3 linked regions of the Lytechinus pictus genome follow. The protein of the gene in region 1 interacts with the protein of each later gene in a pairwise test. Links are inferred from orthologs where the notes say so. Each region holds a gene or a part of one and is shown in the gene's direction. Other genes may lie near its edges.

Region 1 (7,542 bases):
CGAAGAAATTTTTGGTCTAGATACCCAACCTGTCCGGACATGCAACTAGTGGTATGATAGGGGCACTTGTCCAATACTACAAGGTTGTGATAACATCCATGTGGTCTTAAACCACTTTTTAAAAATGCAGTGCTAAGCTAACACCACTTTTATCACAAGGTTGTGATAACCTTGTCCACAGTTAGTAACCTGTGTGGTGAACAAGATTGTCAACAAGATTGCCAATTTTCTCTTGATCTAGACTGGATGAATACTTGATATTTTGGAACAGTCAATTTTGACCATACAGTGAATTCATCATCATAAAAAATGCCTTGGCACAAAACTAAATTGAATTCTTGAAATTTATAATTTTTTTCTAATTAAAAAGAGATTAAAAAGAGAGTCTGTGGAGATGAAGATCTGCATCAGTCACAGAGGGCCTCACAAAAATGTGCTCAAAATTAAAAGTTTTTGAGCGCTCTTGTGAATAAAAAAAAAAGATTTCTAAGTCTAAAATGAAAACAAATAACTGAATGGATCTGTCTTTTTGAGTGTGCATTGTACATGAATGTTGCGTAGACTCAAGACAGAAAGAGTGGTTGGAGAGTGCAAGAGGATGGGGTGCTTCCACTCTTCCCGCAATTCAAGAAACTTTTACTTTTTCCAGGAAAGGTTCCAGAAATGAAAAAAATCCAGGAAATTCAGGGAAATCCAAAAATTACAAGGGGGGCCCCTTGAGAAGCAAAATTTAAAATTGTAATGTAGAAATGCAGAAGTGTGCCCCCCCCCTTTGAACGTGAAGTCCCTTTTATTTTTGCATGTCAATTTTTTCCTCAGGAAAATGTGCCTCCCCTTTTGGAAAATCCTGGATCCGCCCATGATTACAATTAAATGACAATTTACCGTAGCAACTTTAAAATATTCATGTAATATTTTACAAAGATTTAGATCTAACATTAGATCTTCCTCCGGATCCAGACATAGGCTCCGTCGTCGGAGCTCAAAATTTTCTGCCCTCGTCATTTCGTAATTTTGTTCCTATTTTTCAAGAGGACATGACAAACAAGAATGTTTTATTTCTTGATTTTGGTCACTTCTTGGACCTAATTTAGGCTCACTGTATTAATTATTATTGCCAGATTTTCATTAAAAATCAAAATGGAAAATTCCAGGAATTGTCTATGAATTTCAGAAAATTTAGGATTCATTTTCAGGAAATTTGTTTTGGATCTTGGAACATCGATGAGGGGTTTGGTGTCCGGACACTGAAAAATGAAGCCTTGTATTTGTAGAAGTTTAGGCTTGCTGTTGTTTATCTCACTGACTTGTTTTTGTTTTTTTTCTCTCACTTCTCAGCAAAATAAAGCAAAAAATATAGCTTGGATAATGCTTATCACCATCATTATTTGTTCTTTATAATATTTTCTTACATTCTGAGCTAAAAAAAAATCAAAGACATTGCTTGTATTTTTTGTAAACTTTTCAAAATTAAAGGAGATGTCGTGAGTCCGGACCCAACCCGTCAGGAAACACAACCACAGCGTATATCGGGCTGCGCGTTTCCGTTTTACACCCTGGCGAAGGCATTTTCCGCAAAAATAGCCCCAAAGCGACTAGTGAAGAGTCTACACACGTCGCTGGTTGCAGCGTGCGACACATGCACAGGCGAGTCCCACACCACCGCATGCAATCTGCACAGTTACTGATCAGAGCATTTCATGTACAGAGAGCAGTCATGTGAGTGAAATCCGAACATGCTTTTGCAGTTAGGTTTTTTTTATGAAAAGTTAAGAAAAAGTTTTTTTTCTAAATATAAATTATTAACTAAATGAATAGAATGACAGACAAAATAAAAATAAACAGATACATACAATAAAAAGAAAATTGAAGTTTGATGGATTGATACACTTAGATATAGAAGACTGATAAATAGATAGAGACATAGATAGATAGATTGATAGATAGATAGATGGGGGGGGGGGGAGAACTTGAGAGATGGAGAGATGTTATAGATAGATAGATAGATAGATTGATAGATAGATAGATATATGGACGGATAAAGAGAAATAGAGAGAGAGAAAAAAAGACAGACAGATGGATAGATAGAGAGAGAGAGAATCTGAGAGATATATATTAGATAGATAGATAAAGAATGAGAGAGACAGAGAAGATGGGCAAATTAACAGATAGATAGATACTGTAGTTACATAGATAGATAGATAAATAGATAGATAGATAGAGAGAAATAGAGAAAGACAGACAGATGGATAGATAGATAGAGAGAGGGGAGAGAGAGAGAGATAGAGAATTTGAGAGATAGGTAGATGTTAGATAGACAGATAAATAAAGAATGAGAGAGACAGAGAAGATAGACAAATTAACAGATAGATAGATACTGTAGTTACATAGCTAGATAAATAGATAGAAGATAGATAGATAGATAGATGGGGGAGAGACCTTGAGAGAGGGAGAGATGTTATAGATAGATAGATATATATATGGACGGAAAAAGAGAAATAGAGAAAGAGAGAAAACAAGACAGATGGATAGATAGATAGATAAAGAATGAGAGAGACAGAGAAGATTAACAGATAGATAGATAGATACTGTAGTTACATAGATATTAGATAGAGATAGAATTTGAGAGATAGATTAAAAAATAGATAGATAGAAGATAGATAGATAGATAGAGAGAGAGAAGACAGAAAGATGGATAGATAGATAGAGAGAGGGGGAGAGAGAGATAGAGAATTGAGAGATATAGATAGATGTTAGATAGATAAAGAATGAGAGAGACAGAGAAGAGCGACAAATTAACAGATAGATAGATACTGCAGTTACATATAGATAGATAGATTGATAGAGAGAGAACTAGAGAACTAGAGAACTAGAGAAAGACAGATGGATAGATAGATGTTAGATAGATAAAGAATGAGAGACAGAGAAGATTAACATATAGATAGATACTGTAGTTACATAGATAGATAGATAGATAGATCTATATAGATATAATTTGAGAGATAGATATATAGACGGATAGAGAGAAAAAGACAGACAGATGGATAGATAGAGAGAATTTGAGATCAAAGACTGAAATAAGTGAATGTTTACATACAAATAGAATCATAACAAAATATAAAGTAAACATTATAAATAAATATCAAATACAATACAAATTCATACAGATGAAAAAGAAATGTATCATAAATAAATACAAAGGGCCAAAAGTAATACAAAGTGTCACCAAAGAAGAAAAAAGCGGAATGAAAGATTAAGAAGAAAGAGGTGAGAGAAGGGAAAGAAATTGGGATAAGACAAAGAGAAGGGAAAGCAAGAGGGGGAATTTGAAAGAGAATAGGAGGCAACCTTTAGAAAAAAAAACTCATTATGCAATACAAGACATTTAACAATGGTAACAAGTAAATAAAGTAGTAATTGAATCGAATCGAGCACAAAAAAGGGAAAAGTAGAGCTGAGGAAATAGACTCCCGAAGGAAGTCGAGGCAGTGTTGATATTGCACATGAGTAGATTAATAGATGGATAGAGAGAAATAAAAGAGAGACAGATGTATAGATAGAGAATTTGAGAGATAGATGTTAGATGGATAGATAGATAGATAGGTAGATAGAGAATGAGAGAGACAGAGTAGATAGACAAATTAACAGATAGATATATCATGTAGTTCCATAGATTGATTTATAAGATAGATAGCGGATAGACAGATATGATAGATATAAGGATAGATATAATATGAAAAAAGGTAATTATGTGTTTTATTTTTCAATATTTTAGCTATTATTCGTTTTCATTCATATAAACGATCATGTGCGATAAAGTAAAAAAAAAAATCATGAAGCCAACGTATATAGTTCAGCGGAACAACCAAAATACAGAGACTGAAGCTTTTGGTCTATAAGCTCAGCTGCATTTGCACGTATGTTCTGCGGATATCTTCGGTGCGGACTTTTGGATCGCGCGCCCAGCTGATTATGTAAACAAACGTAGACGTAGACTCTTCACTAGTCGCTTTGTGGCTATTTTTCCGGAAAATGCCTTCGCCAGGGTGTAAAACGGAAACGCGCTATCGGGCTACTGAGCCAGCCCCACTGCCGGCTACAGTTGCCAGTCCCATACCGTATCTTTACTGTCATGTTTACGCCTTGGAACTATTAAAAATTAGTAAAAAAGCATGTTAAAATTCAAAATTATTGCAAACCAATCATATCAAAATGAAGCACATAAAATTCTCTTTAAAAACTATCATTTTGTTTTTCTTAATAACAATTTTTATTACCTGAAATTTGTTGTCGAAAAATCTCCCCCATTGACTTTGTACACAAACTTCGGTGAATTTGGAACTATTCAAAAGCTCCATGAGCAAATGACGGCTACTTCCGGTGTCGCAACCTTGTTTATATAGGGCCTTGGTTCGTTGCAGAGTTATCAATAGACAGAGTGGCGAAACCGGAAGTGTACTCTGATTGGTCCGATATTTCATGGAGCCCCAATTAGTTCCCTCTGGCATATTTTCTGCGCTTGTGATCTTCTGCTTAGTGCATGCCTCCGGAAATTTCAATAAACTACACATTTTCTCACATTTAGTGATTAAATACCTCGACACTTTCAACTCATGGATATATTTTCTAGACGCCAATGTGAGTATTTTAACATATAAAGTTAACTTTTTGTAGATACATCTGGTGTTATTTTTTCGTAAATCGGCTTCCAAAATAATGTCGAAAAAAGTGTTTGGTATGAGAGAAAAATTGCATTTTTTTTCAAGTTTTGTGTCATCATGTTTTGCACCTCAACGTGTTGTAATAGTGTTTTACAATGACTGTCAAGGTTGAATGATCTTTCAACAAGTTGTTTCATGTTATTTTTGGGGAAATCCATTTATTTTCTACCAAAAACAGTTCATAAAATTTAGCATATGGGACTACCCTTCATAAGACCCTAGCCAAAGATAAGGAGCTGCGCCGCCGGAGCTTTCGGCGGCGGAAACCTTAGCCCACTCTATAGGCCGTAGGCGGTTAATTGCAGGGATGGAGCCACCAACTCAGCGGGTGAGGGCACTTTTCAACTTAGTCTAAGACTAAGTTATATTACACAGGAATAACCGTCGTTTCTGGGATTTTATTCAACAATTCCTGACATTTTACTGTAATCCCCATTTATGTATTGGTGAGTGAGCCAACACAGTTCAGCGGAACAACCAAAATACAGAGACTGAATGAAGCTTTTGGTCTAAAGTTGGATCTACTAGTCTTAATCTGAATTTTACTAATATATAGATGGAAATATCCCATTAGAGAGGAAAGTATCCCTATATATATTTAGACTATTTTGTTATTAAGGCCAAAGTGTTAAAACTCCTGATTTTAGAAAACCCGTATGCCTAGGTCTAATTTAGACCCTAAGACTAGAGTAAATATTAAGACTGAAGGCTGCAGTGCAGTTGAGTTGTTACATTAAAATTTTTAATCTAACAAAGGAACTGCAGTGCTTGAGTAAATTTACTCTGGACTAGGGTCTAGTGAAGATCTATAGTAGATGTAGACCTAGTCTAATCCTAGTAGATAAAAAAATCCAAGTCCAAGACCAGAGCTTACCTATCAAGACAGACAGTGATTCAATTAAGATTACTTTATTAATGCAGAAGAAATAATGATTCAAAGTGCTTTGACCTGTGTCCTCACAAGCAATAATGGATCTACATCTACATGTACAAATATCAGATTTGCTGCATGCATGGACCTAGTAGGTCCATGCTGCATGTAACCCATCTGTGTTTGGTGTGTGGTGATTGTCATGAGTTCATCTAGCTATTACTATGTTAGTACAAGTTCAGGGCCTATACTGACAGTACTCACTACCGTACCTTTATTCACTCATAGAGTACGTTAGCTTTGTGTGATTAATTCAATATGTGTTAACGTATGTATATGCTTTGACCTTATAACTGTGACAACAGCACTTGCTTGGACTGATGAGGAAAATGGCACAGGTCTAATAGTCACATTATGTATTATCTGCTGGTTATTGTACTTGCTCACTAATTTTTTTATCATAATGGCATGTGCTTTCAAAGGTCATGCAATTAAGGTAATGACTTCAGTGACTGCAAGTTTTAAGCATCAACTTTGGAAACAACTAGCTGAACAGAGTCATGGGAACAGAATTTATTCATTTCATAGACTGTAATCAATAATTATCATTGTTTTCTGGGGTTGCCACGCAGTCAAGCTTAGCTTAAAGTGGCAACCCCTGCAACCTTCTAAAAATCATATTTGGTTTATTTGAAGATTTATGTCATTTGTATTTTCTGATATGTTTTATTTATTGTAATTATTGTATTATAATTTTTTTGGGAAAAATGAATAAATAAATAAATGAAATGAAAAATATCAATATGTATTAATATAAAATACAATTTGTTCAATGTTTTGCTTGTCAGTTATTCGCATATTATTATTGTATTTTCTTTGTTAATGTGTTTATGAAAAAGTGTTGCTGAAACCAATAAATGAAATGAAATGAAATATCTTAGCTGATAATGTTTTAAAACAATTTATCAAGGAATAAATGTTAACACAATCAGAACCTAATGCAAATTTCGAACTTAAGTAAAATATATGTTCATTCCCCTTTGTAATAATTGTGCAATTTTGATAGAATGAACAACTTTATATTGATATCAATTTTATGTATAATTGTTTTTTTATTTTCATAAATTTGTCGTTATGGTATTTTCCTTTGTTCCACAAATGCATCATGTCATTGGGACTACTGTATTACATTTTCAATAAAATTTCCTTGTCATCACCTTGTGTTGCAGGATGTACATTTTTATTTCCATATACCCATCTTTTTTAGGTTATATCAAAATGCATTTCCATATAGTGTCTGTTATTCAAATTTTAAATTCATTAATAAAAAATCTAGTTTATTCAAAATCGATTCAACAGCCTGAATGTTTAATTCACTGCATGTGATAATGTAAATGGGAAAATTGAAAAAATAAATTGTTCACCCTTATTCTTTTCACCAAGATGTAATTTTCCAATTGAATTTTATTTTCATTTTTATTGTCATTCTAAATAGGTTGTAGGCTTATATATAGGATGTGCACGCGCAAATCAAAGTTATTTATGATTATAGTCAGTTGACCTTTAGTGGATGTGAAGGAGGGAGTGGCGTAACACAATTTTGGATCCACCTTCTTGTGCATAGAGAAATGTATTTCTTACATGGAAATCACTTATGATATATTATTGTTTTCTCTTTCAGATAAATCCTATCAGGTTATGCAGTCTAGTTATTTTGTCTCTCATTTTCAATATTCGTCCTTGATCCTGTTAAAGCTATAAGCTTTCCATTTTTAAATATGCATTACAAGCGTTTAATTAGTTGAGATTCTGTTTTTCTTTTTTTTCTTTTTTTCATTACACAGTGTTACACCACACAATAGAAAGGAAGAGGGAAATCGGAGAACAGAAGAGAGAGAAAGAGAGAGACCCAGAGATGAGAGGGGCAAAGAGAGTGATAGATAAAGGGAG
Region 2 (8,085 bases), on another chromosome or scaffold:
CAGATATTATCAAGTGTTGTGACTGTCTGTTAGAGAGCAATATGTTCTATTTAAACACCAGTCATATCATCCTCAGCATATGTCGCAGTGCTTCTGCTCGAGGGCAATGCATGATGCCTACTGGACCATTACCATTTAGAGACGCCAATTAATATTTAGGTGCGGATTCGAGGACGGGGAGGGGCAAATTACACTTTTAGGACTTTTTCGTTAGCATGTCCCCCCAAAAAATGGTACGAGAAAATATGGTAATATGCATCTATACTTTTTTTGTTGGTGTTGATTATTTATTTATTTTATTAGTCAATTATTGAATTATTGGTGTTAAAGAAAGCCCCCCCCCCCCCCGAAGTAAATCTCAGATCCGCCCCTGAATTTTGAGCCAGACCGTCCAATGTAAAAAAAAGATACATAAAAAGCATTGCACCATCGCGCCATCACATTTCCAAGACTTTTTTTTGCACGGGTTAAGTAGCTCCAGCATGGCCAATGCCGGTTACATTTTCTATACAATGGAGAAAAATTAGAAAGAAGAAAGATACACGTCAATCTTGTTACACAGGGGCCGCGGAACGGTTTTCAAAGTGGGGGGCTGAGCCAAAAGTGGGGGGGGGGGGGGCTGACCATGCTAAAAATCACAATCATATGGTCATTTTTACGTTTTTGTACACAGTTTTGGAAAAAAAAGAGGGGGGGGGGGGCTGAAGCCCCCCAGCCCCCCGGTTCCGCAGCCCCTGTTACAAGTCGATACCTAATTCCATAAAAAAAATATATCAAGCCAACAGCATCTGCATCTAGATGTGTGTCACCTGGGAAATGGAATTACATTTGTATTTAAAGGCTGATTCCTTAAATACTTTTTAAAGTTTTATATAATTCTTACTACCTAATATAAATTCGAGGGAATTCGTATACTAGGCCTACATCACAGGCCTAATATTTAAAGACAGGAGTTTTAAAACGCCGGCATTCTGACCAAACCTGAACACATTAAGATTGTAAATCTATTTTATTCTTCTTTCTCCATAATTACAAAATCGTCAGGAAATTTCGTCGGCGCCATTCTACAAACGACAATGGAGCAACAAAACATAAAACAAAAAGGTTGACTGATATACCAAGGAGAGTGATATCTCCTTGGATATACAGCGATTCCGCCGGTGAATGAAGATATTAAACGCCTAAATTGCTAGATGATATCGAAATCATTTCATTTTTATTGCCGAGTGGATTACTGAGTTTTTTTTTCTTATTAGTGATCTCAGATAAGGGAACGTAATTGAATTTCGATTTGTGTTTTTATTGTCGTCAAATTGGGAATCAAAATAGGAAAAGTTAATGACCGACTGCATGGATTCAACGAGGGGGAACGACGTGACAGATGGGTAGATGAAGAATAAAGGGATAGAAGAAGATGGAGGTGGAGGGAGATATAGAAGGAGGAAGAGAAAGAGAGAGAGAGAGAGAGGGGGATGATATAGGGGTGGTTTTATATCAGTACAATTTTGTTTTTATTGTCTAAAGTAGAATCAGATATAAGGTATTGCATGAAGGTAAGTATAAGATAAAGATATTTAAGTTTGCTTTATTATCAAGCATTTTTTAAGAATGAGAAAATAATTTAAACAATTGCAAAATTGATAAAACACCTTTTAGGGGATCTATATATAGGCCTGCCACCCTTTGGCTGCACGGATAATGGGAAATTTTAGTTTTATTAAGCGGGTAAATGCGAATAATATTGATGATGACAATAAATATGTGGGCTTCAATAATAATAATTATCGTTATTTTTTTAAGTAAGCAAACAATTAATTCATTTATTTCATCAATATATACCCATTTGCAACTGTAAGCTCATTATTTTTTGTCTATTATTGATTGGTATTTCTGCATTTGTATATTGAAAATGGGTTTAGAGATCAAATAAACCAATAAATTCAAATTCAATCATGCATGTATTCACTTATTTCTTTTATTAGTTTATCATTATTTTTTTAATTTTTTTTTATTGGGGGGGGGGGGGGGGGTGTGCTGCACTATCCCTACTCGGTCAGTAGTATCAAGGTTGCGATAGCAGTAACACAACGTCATCATTATAAGCATCAGCAGCAGTATTAAAAAAAAAACATCCTGAAAGAAAAAAATACATTGACCCCGCACATGACCCTAAATACTTCTCTTTTTTTTTTTTTGCTTTCTGACGTGCCCTTTAAAGAAATTCTTGGATAAGAGCTGCGGGCTTGAATATGAAATATTGCGACGGACAAGCTAAATAGTCAGTCCTGCATGTATTATTTTATTTCGCTTGCTATGATCAGTACCATAAAGGATGGCAAATTGAGAGATTATACCTCAAGTAATATGACATGCACAAAGTGGACAGATGAATTTGGTATAATTCCGAAAGCAGGTGATCACATTAGGCACAATACAAGAAATCATCACGACGAGAACTGGGCCCCGTTGTACAAAGAGTTACGATTGATCCGATCAATCACAACTATGGAAAGCCAGCAAAGTCAACATATGAAATGCATGTTTGTTCAAAAAAAATTCTAGATATGAATGCAAATCCATAAATTCATTGATTTCTTGACAATTCGGGGTGTTCTCCTTTGATTACAAAGGACATTTGCAAATTTCCTGTAGAAAAAATTATGACACTGATGGATTTCCATAGAGTTACGATTGATCGGATCAATCGTAACTCTTTGTACAACGGGGCCCAGATGTCACTAATGTCCACTCTAAATTTACAGGGATTTTAAATAAATCCACATCGGCGGTAGTCGGTAGACAGTGACCAACCTGAAATAAGGATTTAGATTGATTGACTGATTAATCATGTGCGGGGTCAATGTATTTTTTTCTTTCAGGATCTGTTGTTTTTTATACTCCTGCTGATGCTTATAATGATGACGTTGTGTTACTGCTATCGCAATTCTCCAGAATTTGAATCTAATTAAATTTTGGTCACAACTCACAACCGATCTGTATTTATTCAAAGTATAGTGTCATGGTATCTCAAATGCAGACATTGTTATGAAGGGGAAAAAAAATAGGCAATAGTTCATCTCGCAATGAAAAACTCAAATCCTTTTACAGTTAGATGACAAAGTAACATAATGGAAATTAAAGGCGTAAGAGCTTATGTAAATATAATTGAATACACTGATTTATACTTACTTTTCTGTAGACATCCTGTCTGTTTTGTCTGTTGTTGCTATGAATCAGATGACAGACCGCGGGAAAAAAAAGAGACACAAAATTGAGAATCCCAGCTGTGAATGGTTCGGTTGGGCGGTGATCGCTTGCTACTACCTGCCCTGGTTTCACGAACTATAGACGTGTCCAAGACAGTTGGTTGGAAGAAATTGTGATTGTTGATGATTTTCAGAGAATGAGCATTGATGAGCTCAAGTGTGGACCGGACGATTGCTCCCTGATTTGAGATTTATTGAATGACAAAAGGATGATAGTTCCCAAATACGTGATTTTACCTGGGGTGCCCTGTAATGAGGTCAGTATTAAAGTTGAGCCTGTCACTTTCTCAGGCTGGCGGAGCGAGGGGCAGCGGATGGCTAATAATGAAGATCGAAGTTCATGTTTGGAGGTGCACGCCTATACGGATCAGTGGGTATGGTATATTAGAAAGTGGGAGATAGTGATGGAGGGGGAGAGAGATGGAGGCAGAGATAGAGAGAGATGGAGAGAGAGGGAGAGAGAGCTAGGGATTGACAGACGGACACACACCCCACCCCAGTCAGTCCGCACAGCGTATGTATAATGCGGGATGTAATGGCACGGAGCCCGTCAGTGTATGGTGGGGCCGGGGGGGGGGGGGGGGGGGAGGCATGCATATGCAGAGATTGAAGAAGAGAGTTTTAGAGAGACTTGAGAGAGGGAGGGTGAAAGAAAAGAAAGTGGTCATTGCTGGATGGGCGGGGCGGGGTCGGGGTAACTGTCAGAATTTAAACGCTCTTCCAAGACATGATCCTTAATTTGGATCAGGAGCGGCGCCAGGGTATTTGACGGGTGGGGCGAGCTGATGGTGATGTATTTTTTCTTCAATTGAATATTAGGTCATATTAATAACAATTACAAACGACCAAAAAGTCTCTTCTTTCTTTTTTTCCTCCCCTTCCGTCTTTTCGTCATTATTTTTGCTTAATTCTCTCCTATTTTTTTCTTTGTATTCAAAGCTTGAAAATTCATAGGGGCAGTCGCCCCTGCCCTCTGCTGTGATTGTGGTTATTATCATTATTATTAATTATTAATTATTATCATTATCATTACTATTATTATTATTATTATCATCATCAACATCATCATCATTATCAATTAATTATACTATCATCTATACTTGTTTTGTTTATATTGATTGTCAAAATACATCAGAGCTGGGCTATTGGTGTTGAAGTTAGAAAATTAGGAGACTTAGGATCCAAGTCGTGAGTCACCAGGCCATGTATTTGTTGAAAGCACTAGAAAGGGGGTCCTCCCTAGTGATAACGGCTATCGTAAGCAGGGTCATAAGGCACTGAAAGTCCCGCAGGAATGAAAAAAACCCCATAAAGCCAATTGAAGAACTCGTCGCGTTTTAAGTGAAAGTTACAAAAATGAGCAACCCCCTCTATCTCCCCCCTCAAAATAAGGAAACGCATTCTTCATCACTGATCCCCAACACTTTCATCTCGTAATGGTAGACAACTATAAAAATAACAAAAATCGGAGAGATGCCCTTTTCGAAAAGTTTTCCGAGTTTCCTTTCCCTCCATCCCCTCCATGCTGCGCTTGGCCACTCCCCTTCCCCCTCCGATCAATCTCTGGCATATCACGTGATTTATAGTGCGATCAGGTGATCATGATGGGCTGGCCCCCCATTCATTTCAAGTTTTTATTCGTAATCTTTACGAATCGACGGGGAACAGCGAACGCAACTTCAGCGCGCGAGCGCGAATGACAACAACATGGGTTAGTAGTTCGACTGAGCTGAGCTGAATTGAATTGAATGACGGCTTATGTCAAACAGCTGATTAATCATGTCGATGGTAAATATTCTGAATTGCATGCACATTTTAATGCTTTGACGTAGGCCTATGGTTACTTTTAGACATTCAGTGATTTCAAATCCTTTCGTTGAAAAAATGCCCTTTCAATTTGAAGTTGAAACGGAATTAAATAAAAAATTCGAAATTGTGTCCTGACCATGATGACTCGTCGTGATGCCTGATGGTCCCGTCGTGATGACGAATTGAGATGGGAATTGGACTAACGTTAGGTTTTTCAGGCTAGTTTCAGTGTCATCTGATGCAAAGAAGTGATGGATGAATGTGGAAAACTAGAAGAAACCTAACGAGTGAATGAGGGAGGATATGGTTGGCCCAGGGATCTAGATCTAGCTAGCTAGAGTAGAGTCTAACTTGTTGAGTTAGAAATTTTTGTTGCAAGAAAATATTTGCGATCAATTGCAAATATTTTGTTGCAATTTTACAACATACTTTTTAGATCAACGTCAGTTATAGCAAATCAGATTTAACTTCTTGTTTCAAGGAGCAGATTAGCAATCACTAATTTGCAATTTACTGCAAGACATTTGAGTGATTTAGGGACCATATATAGATCGCAATTGATCGCAAGTTTCTTGCAACACGGTACACCCGAGTCGATCTCGATCTGTTCTTACTGTCTTAGTTAGATCAAGATCTAACTTACACATGTCATGACATGCGTGACCCAAAAAACATGTTTTTAAACTAAAGTCTATATGTCTGGTCGCATGTGCACTTGTTAAGGGTATAAAAAACAATGATTTTTTTTTAAAGGTGGTTCAGAAAGACTGGTCAATCATGGATGGTCAATTATGTTCAATCCCGGGGTCAAATGTATTAGGGTAATTTTTTCTTTCCAAAGGCAAGGCTTTTTTTTTAAGAGTAGCCAAACGTGTTTAGAACTTTAGGGTATATTTTTTCCCAAGCTTTTTCCCTGCATGGGGCCAAAATGTGTAAATGAAGCCTGTGAAAAACTTGTTCAGGGGTTATTTTGCACACAGAGAAAATCTTGTTTAGGCCCATGTTTGGAAATAATTTGGTCACGCATGTGTACAGCAATATATTTGACTGGCCCCATCACCCCCACCCCCCCCCCTCAAGATGGTTGGCCAGGTATTTATTTAGTACAGACTTTCACTTGTGACTTTTTCAAACCCCCTCTGTGAAAAAAAAAAAGATCCAACTAACGTTAGTTAGAGTTGTAAAATCTAGAATCTTGACTTGTTTAGAACTATTTGACTATTTCAAAATGTAACTTTAGGGTCTGAGTTGGAGATAGTGAAAATACACTTGACAGTGGAAACAAGACTTCAAAATTGCAAAATTAATTGCATTTTATTTTCCCAGTTGATATGCAGTATTTTTTAATGAAGGAAAGGATTGGTCGAAATGCATGCCAAAAGGCTTAAATCATGAAAATGAATGTTTGACAGTTTGGTAATGATACATGTTTCCGTGCAGTCATGACTATAAACTAATGGATGGATTCAAATGAAGAGGGGGGGGGGGGGATGGGAGGTGGGGGGGTGAGGGATTGCTCCCATGTAGTACATTTTACTAGTGGCCAACCTGCTAGTGGCATGCAGTCATGTGCATGCACTGACAATGATAAAGACAGACTTGATCTAACAATAAATTTATAAATCATATTCCAGGACATTCGATCCTTCTTCGGCAGCCCAGGAAGGGGTAAGTCTGCATCCAGTTCAGCTAAGCAGAGCAATGGCAAGGGTAAGAGAAAGCACAATGACGATGACGGAGACTTCGTGCAAAGTGAGAAGAAGCAACGCCACTCGGCCAAATCAATGAAGAAATCCAACATCATTTATGACTCTGGTAAAGTGAAGGTGTTAATGTACTTAAATGAATGATTCACATCCTGTGTGTCTTTCATAAATACTAAACACAAGGATGAGAAACTGTCTTGAATTCTGAGAAAATTTTTCCCTTCAATGAGTACATGAAATAAATACAAAATTATATTCATGTCTAGTACTCTGCTCCCATCTTCTCTTCTTTTGTCATATTTGCAAGACTTGTATCAGAGTTACTAGCAAGGTGAATTAAAACATTCAAGAGTTCAGGTTAAAATGTAACCACATAATGGCCTCCAAAATTTACAAATTAAGAGAATTATATACATAGTAATAGTGGAAAATTAGTATAGACGGGGAATGATAAAATAAAAATCTAACATTTATTAAAATGAGCAGAAAGGTTACCATGCTGTTTACGGATGAGGTATTCTTTGTTATACACTGCACTGTATGAAGCGAGGTTTAAAGAAAGCAAAGTCAGGGATTTATTTTGAAGTTTGCAGAGATAAAGTATTTTAAGAAGAGAAAATTGAATAAAATAAAGAGAAAACTTGTCAGGGCATCCATATTTTTTCCTCCATTTTGAACCTGTTGACTTAAAATTTTCAGCATTTTAGGTATCAAGATCTAGTAGTGCTATAAAAAAAAAAATCAATGAGTGGGACAAGGAAAAATTAAATTAAAATCCCAAGCATGTTGGGCTTGATCATTTGGTAATCTACACTGAGTGATGAGTGAGAGGCTTTGTTGGATGCCAAAAGAACTTAATTGCTTTAGAAGCATGATCATTCATCCTTTCCCTGACATTTCATTTTCTTGCCTCAGACATTTTCAGAAATGAATGTAAATTAAGGTTTTGAATTGCAACAAATCAATTCAATACCTAATAATATAATGTTCAATATATTATGTTGTTAAATATTATAAGTTTTCATTTCATTAGTGATGTAACTTTAATGCATTGATTTTATTTGTTATAATTTGTATTAAGTATTTTAGGATTAAGGTTTAGGTTTATTGTATACATGTAATTCAGATCAGGTTTAATGTATAATTTAGTAATTAAATATATTTTGTAAAGCGCATAGAGAATCTTTTGACTATTATGCGCTATATAAATTTCAAATATTTTTATTAGTATTACCTTGAAGTTTAAAACAGGAACATGATCATGAAACTTGTTCCTAGTTTCAAATTTTCTTGAAGTGAGGTTA
Region 3 (8,270 bases), on another chromosome or scaffold:
TACCAAGTTACCAACCATCTGTTTTTACACAAGTGATTCTTAGTAGTATGTGGAATAATGCAATGTTTGTGTGAAGTTAAATGTGATGTTTTTTATTTTATTTTAAATGTAAGTTGTTATGCAAGTCAGCGGAGGCTGTGGTATGATGATAAACTAACTTAAAGGAGAATGAAACCCAAAATGTAATACCACTTAATATCATTGATAAGTAAATGATAATCAAAATGAATCCACTTATACCCATATCCGATTTCCCAAAGTGGAGTACCACCTCTTCAAAGTTAGACTTCTTCACGTTCAAAGTCTCTGAATGGAGATCGCCATTGTTGCGAGGTTCGTTCAAAATTGTGACATCAGCGACGTACAACTGCTCTCAGTACTAGCTTCCATGTGCAGCTAGTCACAGGCTGAAACCAACCCCGAGTTCGCATAATATAGATACTTTTTTTACAAGAAATAAATATAATATACACATAAAAACACTTGAAAATATTATCAAAAAGCTATTCAAATTATTTTATGGTTTAAAACACAAATTGATGAGTTTTGATGAAAATGTTTACACATTTATTTACGATTACCAAATTGGCAAATTTGACAAAGCTAAATTTGTACGTAGACAGTACAGCCGTCCCCGGCCACCCACTCATCACACGTATTGCGAGGTTAGTATTATAAGCCAGCACCGTAAACCGCGTTTGGCAGTGGATTTCTATCTAGTGGGTCGCGCGTGCTGGGATCTTCCTTCTGGTGTCCACAACACACGACTTCTGTGGCTTGATTTTTCTGTGCGCGGCAGCATGTAATGAACCCTCGAGTGCCGACCGCCGGCCCACAACCGAGTGATCGTGTTAACTGTTATGTTGGAAGTTTGGTTCTCTATCCCGTTTGAATATCGTTAAATTGTTAATTGTGCTATTTTTCAATATATCTAACGTTGTTTATTATTTGTTACCGTCGATTTTAAGTAAAACAAAACTTATCTGACGTTTGTATTGAAATAGAACTTAGTTAGAAGGCCCGAGAGCCTACGACTTCGAGTCCCAATACTCGGCCGAAGAAATCGGTAAAATGCTCGCTACGAATAACATCATTCCTCGTGAATTTTGAAGAATTGTTGTATTTCTCCACCTTTAGTGCAGCCACTCATTTTTTAAAGAGATTTCTGGCCTCTTCTGCGGATCAGGAATTTGGCAAAAGCTGCATTTTGTGCCCCTTTCTGACCACTCTGGCCCATGTATTTTATGCTAGCAATCAAAGGCGAGTGCCGAGGTCGGACACCGAGTTGTACGTCGCTGACGTCACAACCCCCCACGGAGATATAGGGAGTATGAGCAAAATGGCGATCTCCACGGGTCTTTCAAATATCAAAATATTGATAACTTTGACTTGGCATATCATGGGAAATAGGAAACCATTCTGCCTCATTTTAATTTTATTTTACTCAGTGAAATGTAATCACTTTATGATCAGATAATAAATCTATCCTTTCATTTTCCTTTAACTATATACACTGTAGCTCTCATTATCCAGGTCTCGACTATTCTGTGTCAATTTACAATGTAGCCCTCTAATGCAGAGCTCAAGTCTACATTCTGTTTGTATAGTCAGGATTTTTCTCTTTTTTTTAAAATGCATTTTTCTATTGAAGATATTTAAAAAAATGAATGATAACACTTAAAATTTTACAGCAGGAGGGGAAAAGGAAAATGTTTTATTTCTTATTTTTAAACTATTATTTTAATTTAAATTAACTTTTTAAGAGTTAGTCACTGACTGGACAAGACTTACATCATGTCTGATATTCATGAACATTGTTTCCGCAAAATGACCTGAATACTTCCTTGCATTTTACAAAGAATATACACAGAGGACAAAGAGTGGAAATATGATATTTGCAACATACATGTAGTTATGTAAGGTTAGCAATAACTTGAAATAAAAATGAAAAAGTTGCAAGGCAAGGTTGAAAAAAGGTTTTTTGTCTTGTTATTTTGTTGTTTATGTGTTGCATACATGTACATGTACATATACCGGTATGTAAATTTTAAATCTATGCCATTTTGTTATGCTGCAATGTGTAAGTGTAGATTTCATTCAGAGGAAAATCATTCCCATAGGATGAAAACATGTAAAAAAACAACAACAAAAAACCCAAAACATTTTATAGTGAAGAGCCCTTTCAAAAAGGATATTGAGGGTTCCTTTTCAAAATTGCTCCTAATTTATATTTCCTTTTTTGTATCAATATTTAATTTTCAGTGATACAATTTTCATATAATGTAATAGTAATCAGTGTTCTAGCTTGAACCATTTTAGTGGCGGTCACTATTTTACGGCATTACAAAGTTTTTTCAGGCGAGTTAGTGGTCTTAAAATTAAAGCCAAAAGTGACTAAGGAACATTAATGTATTAATCTGACATTAGGAAATCTTTGAAAAAAAATCAAATATAAGAATGTTTAATGTAAATTATGCAAATAAAACCAGATTAAAGATGGAAGTGGACGCAAAGCAATTCCTCTTTTAAATTAGTGGTGGATGGAATTAGTCTGTGCTGGTTGGGCCCAACAACTGCCGTCTACTGTACATGTACATTAGCTATAACACTGTGTATACTTGTATTTGTTGTGAATTGTTAACTGATCCTTTCAGCCTGCAGTTTAATCAGTACATGTAACTGTACCAAATTGCATATTCAAGGGGGGTGGGGGCAGGATTTGAAAAGAAATAATAATGATAATGGAGCACCCCTAAAATGCCTTCATTTTGGACTGATGGCCTTTTTTGTGGTGGGGGGGTTCATCTAATTTGGGGGACATAAAATGCACCCCCTCAAAAAAAATTCTTGGCACTGTGCCTGTATACCCCGAAAAATGAATGAATTAATGAATCGCATAAGAAAATAGGAAAGCTAAGAAAAAAAAATGAGTCGTGCATTTCTTTCAAATTCATTTCAAAGACCACATACATAATACATGTAGGCCAATACATATAAAGTACATTAACACTGTTAAAAAAATCTGTCTTACCCTAACTTATGAAATCAGTCACTAGATACCAAACTCCTCAATAACTGAAATGCATGTATTCTGTTTTCATTTGCCTTTTATAATGCATAAAAACTCCCAGGTTTTACTGTTGAAGTACTACATGTATGCATGTGGTGCAATACCAATATTATCACCAGTAAAAATGCAAGTCATTGAAATTTCATTCTTTATCATTTGTCTGATGACAGTGCATTTTCTGGATTTGATAAACTTACAAATACTTCCAACTAGAAAATATCCACTGAAGAAAAGAATACTGTGGACACTTTGGAGTTTGGACACCAATTCACAAATTAGCGAATTGAAAATTACATAGTAAACAATGTGTTTACATACATGTACATCAAAACTGAGTGTACTGTATCATCCTGAAAGAGCTTGAAGTTGATTTTCAAGACTGCTGCCCTCTAGTGGTAACTACAGCACAATGTTTGATACTTGTTCACATCTTGTTACAAAACTGAAATGTCTTTATTGAATGAGAACACATGTTTTAAAAAGATTTATATGCATGCATTTTGTAGAGCAATGGTTCATTGTCTGATTTGAATCAATTTAGAAGAAAGACAATTTAGTGTGAAAAAGGGAAGAAAGGAAAAATAAAAATAAAGGATAATATGAAAGTTGTGTATCTCTTTTTTTTTGTAATGAGCTCAAACAAAACATCAAGAAAAAATTAAAGATTGATCAAGTTTACTTTGATTTTTGTTTTAATCACTCTTTTTATTGAGATATGAACATGAAGGCCTAATATGTATGAAGTCATGTTATCAATTATGACATTTCTCTTCCCCCTTTTCTTGTGTAAAACTAAGGTCAGAACCTGTGTTACTAGGCTTGTTTTTCCATGATATATTATCTACCAATTAAATATGATTGCTGGAACTTAAAATTCTAAAAAAAATAACATTTGGAGCTGCTCACAAAGGTTTTCCATGACTTTTATAAGTGTATCCTCATTCTGTATTTACTTTTCAAAACATAGTATGGAGATACATGTACAAGTTTACATGGATCACAGAATCATTTATTACAATGCATTTACTTCATTTTCCATCAGCAAACCAAGATGGTTTTGTTTTGTTTTTCAAACAAGTTTTGCCATCAAGATAAGGTGGGGGAGTCAGGGGGACACATCTGGGGCCAATTTTCACAAAACTTGTTATCATAACAAATTTGCAATATAAATGTTTAGAGCTACTGAAATCCATCAATTTGATTGGCTGATAGTAATCTTGTGCATTTGTTGTTATTACATGCCTTTGTGAAACAGGACCTTTTTAGAGACTTTTTTCTGAATAAAGACTTAAAGTATGTATTGTTTGTTAACTGTACATAATGGTAATTTCATACACGTACTCATTTTTTTTCTCTCTCTCACTCTCTCTCTTCCCGTACTTAAAAAAAAAACAGAAATAACGTTTTTCAGTGCACTGTGATATTTCAAATTTATCTCCTCTATAAAAGATTTACTCATGAACCAGGCATACATTACTGTCAAGTTGGATGGACTGCTATCGTCAAACAACATTGTGAAAAGTGTGTATGAAGCGCAAGTTGTACATATACAGCTACATGTATGTGTATGGAGATTCTCACACCTAAAGCCTTGAGATAATTTGACAACGAAATAAATACAATACACTATTTTCATACAAATACCAATCAATACCAGTATTGTATCCCCTTCATTTGCATATCAAAGGAGAATAGTCTGTTCTCACATCGACTGGATGTCATTGTAAAAAAAAAAATGTTGTTCTTGGTTTGTGCATGTCAGAGATTAAGTCTTGTACACAGCGATTGCACTTATACTCTTCTATTTCTGTTTACATTAATTCATGTATGCTTTGCAAATACTTCTTCATGTTTCACCCTTGAATATAAGACTGTTTAGTTGGCTTGGTCTGTTGTAAGTTTCTTTGCTACTTTTAGGCTTGGTCGATCAAAGTTTGAGTGGAAACCTTTATGAACCAGGGACCTTGGAAGTATGATGAAAAGGATATTAAGCCACGCTCTGGTAGCCCAGATCTCTTTTATTTCATGAAAAGCTGTCTATTGATTTCACATACCAGCACAATAATAATTCTTACATGTATTGGAGGGTTTTATTTTTTTCAACAAGCTGTCCTGTTTGCCTACCAGAAGAGTATCTGTGTAATCTTAAAAGCATGTACATTTGCTCATACATGTATTCATGTACATTGTAGCTTCTATTTGGGATGCAGATACATTAATGGAAGTCGTAAAGTGAATAGGCCTATTTAAAAGTTTTGCATTATCTTAGGATACTTATTGGATCAGTAAAAGCGGCATTGTGGATCTGACCTGAGTGATTGGAAACTGACAAGAGTTTAAAAGGAATAATCAGCTTTTATCATTCCATCAAGATCATACTGGATTTGTCTTAGAGCCTGCACCATCACATTTTTATTATGAAAAGAACATTGTATCAGAAGAATGGACATTAGAATGTGTTTGCAAAGTTTCCACAAACATTATTGAATTTGAAGATACCTGAATGGGAGAACAGTTATCACATACTTCAGGTTTGAAGTAATTCATTTGCTTGATGGAACTTGTTTCTAGCACTTTTAGCAATGGAGAATGCATCCGTGAGATAGCTGCTTCATTATTCACTAAAGAAAAACTTTTAAAAAGGAACAGAGAACCAATAAATATTTCCATTAAATACATTATTTTATTAGAGACGATATGCCAGTGGAAGTTATAAAGACCCCAGAAGGATTCATGGCCTGTGAAGATAAGCTGTAAGTTAATAAAAAACATTTTAGTACCCTTTCGTTGAGCAGGGTACTTTAATATATTTTTTATGCGCAGGGAGCCCGTCCTACAGGACTTATTATGGTATCACGTTCGGTGTCCGTCTGTCTGTCTACTTGTTAACTTTTCTTTGTAAACGTGATAACTTCAGTTTAACTTAACCTAGGCTCATATAATTTGGTGTGTATGATACTAGCATGGATCCCAGGAAGCCTATTGATTTTGAGGTCAAAGATCAAGTTCACAGTGACATGTTTTCCTTGTAAACGCAATAACTTTAGTTTAACTTAACCTAGGCTCATATAATTTGGTGCGTATGATACTAGCATGGATCCCAGGAAGCCTATCGATTTGGAGGTCAAAAGGTCAAAGGTGAAGTCTCCACCTTCCACTTTTCTTGCTTGACCAATACATGTTCTCCATTTTCCGCGTTACAGGCGGGCGTATTATTTGCTCACCTTAATAGCGACACTCTTGTTAACGATATACTTTAGATGTATTATTTGCAAATATAGAGTTTGAAAGTTTTTACATGTAGTGCTCTTGATATTTTGACCGTTCTAGATTGGATTGTATTTTCTTTGATATTTTGGTTTTAGGGATCTTGAAATTGATTTTATTTGACTTTAAAAGATTAATGTTCCTTCTTTTCTCTAAATAGTCAAATTTGTACATGTGAAAAGATGTTTTGGTTTCCTTGTTGCTGATTAAAGGATAAATTTATTGTAAAAATAGGATAATTTTATTGTAAAAAAAGAAAAAAAATGATGAAAAATATTTCCAAAGGTTTATATAGTGCATAATATTTGACAGAATCTCTATGCGCTTTACATAAAAGTAGTTTAGTCTAATACTAATAAACTTTAAATAAAAAAAAACATGAATGAAAAACTACATGTAACAAAAACTTTGCAACATACCGTACCTTTTAAACAAAACAATCTAACGTGAGAACAAACTACGGTATGTCTTTAAGAAGTACAAGTGATGGCCCTCAGATGATTAGGCAATTTATTCCAGGTACAGTACAGGTGCTGCTAACAAAAAGCAAGGAGCTTCCAAGGCACGATCCCCAAACGAACATGTTTTAGACATTGGCGCAATTGATAAATTCTGGTTAGAAGAGCGGAGATTTTTATTGCGGGACACATCCAGATATCAGATCAGACAGATATAATGAATCAACTTTTCAGTGGTCTTTTTACACAAGTAGTTCTGAATTTTTGCAATTCTTCTCAATGAACACATTGTTGTTTTAGTTGAAGGTGTTGAACTGTTGATCCATGTGAAAGCCCAGATTGTGTGCTTTAGTTGTCTCATGTACATCCACCCCGTCTGTTTCAATACAAGCTGGTGTTAAAGCAGAATTAATCCTAGATGAAACATGAATCACTTCAGTCTTCTGTGGGTTGATTTTCAAACTATTTCTTCGGGCCAAAGGCAGGACTTCAGCAAATCCTGCTTGTAGCATTCAGTAGATCATGTTTGAGAAAAATCCATCAAAGAATAAAAAAAGTTATTAGAATTTGAATTATTTGATTTGTGACGTCATATGCCAGCAACTTTTCTACATATCATTTGGTTAAATATCAATGAAATGTCATTTTCTCAGAAAATCGAAAATTTTACTGTATCTCTAGTATATCAATACACAAATTATTTCACACCCGTTCCTAAAAAGAAAAAAAAGAAAGAAAAATAGGTCATGAACCATTAAAAAAATGAAATTTATATGCATTTTATATTAACTTATGGGCCATATGAAATCAGTTGATTAATTGCTAGTATTTGCTACCGTATGGTCCTGCCAGTTTGTAAATTTTAACTCTCCCTGTTTGAGTAAGTTTCCGTTATTCAACAAATTCAACAGACTATAGTATTTGTTGAAAACCATGTCTATCGCTCCAGAGCTCTGGTATGCATTGTGTGTACTTGACAAACATTTATTCTTTTGAGGTTTTGTTTGTGTAGGTCAAGTTTAGCGTTTTCTGCGCCAGCTGGATGGTACATGTAGTACATGTGATTTGCAAATGAGATCATGGAGTATTAAAACTACAAGTGGATCTGCCTTACTCGAATCTCTAGGAACGATGGAAATCTGTTCGAGAAATACTAAATTTGACTTGAAAATGATATCAACATATATGTATTGTATTAGGCTTGGGCAATTTCCAGCTTTCCCAGAGTTGGTTCTGACCTAAGGCTTCGGTTCTGAGAGGAGTCGACTCCACTAGTGCATTACCAGATTACCGGTACACATTAAGCTCTTTTCATCCCCTCTTTGTATGTCCGAGGGTGACCAGATTTTGGCAGTTGAAATACGGGACACTTCCTTCGAGGTCAATATACGGGATGCAGGACAAATTTGTGAAATAGGGACTTTCCCTTAAAGTACGGATTGTCTGGTCACCCTGGTATATCCGTCTCTCTCTTT

Evidence for each region.
Region 2: the proteins of replication factor C subunit 4-like (region 1) and replication factor C subunit 1-like interact in a two-hybrid assay, tested with the Caenorhabditis elegans proteins (3 studies listed by BioGRID). The link is inferred for Lytechinus pictus from reciprocal best matches to the Caenorhabditis elegans genes rfc-4 and rfc-1.
Region 3: the proteins of replication factor C subunit 4-like (region 1) and PRKCA-binding protein-like interact in a two-hybrid assay, tested with the Caenorhabditis elegans proteins (3 studies listed by BioGRID). The link is inferred for Lytechinus pictus from reciprocal best matches to the Caenorhabditis elegans genes rfc-4 and Y57G11C.22.

Annotation. Positions count from the first base shown.
Region 1 is NC_087260.1:5,934,641-5,942,182, reverse strand, and holds the start of replication factor C subunit 4-like, read left to right. Parts: upstream 1-4,474; 5' UTR 4,475-4,638; intron 4,639-7,542. UniProt on the Caenorhabditis elegans protein: The elongation of primed DNA templates by DNA polymerase delta and epsilon requires the action of the accessory proteins PCNA and activator 1. This subunit may be involved in the elongation of the multiprimed DNA template.
Region 2 is NC_087245.1:40,463,765-40,471,849, forward strand, and holds the start of replication factor C subunit 1-like, read left to right. Parts: upstream 1-4,885; 5' UTR 4,886-5,045; coding exon 5,046-5,054; intron 5,055-6,709; coding exon 6,710-6,890; intron 6,891-8,085.
Region 3 is NC_087254.1:35,283,676-35,291,945, forward strand, and holds the start of PRKCA-binding protein-like, read left to right. Parts: upstream 1-4,878; 5' UTR 4,879-4,893; coding exon 4,894-4,964; intron 4,965-5,327; exon of another isoform or gene 5,328-5,767; coding exon of another isoform or gene 5,768-5,823; intron 5,824-8,270.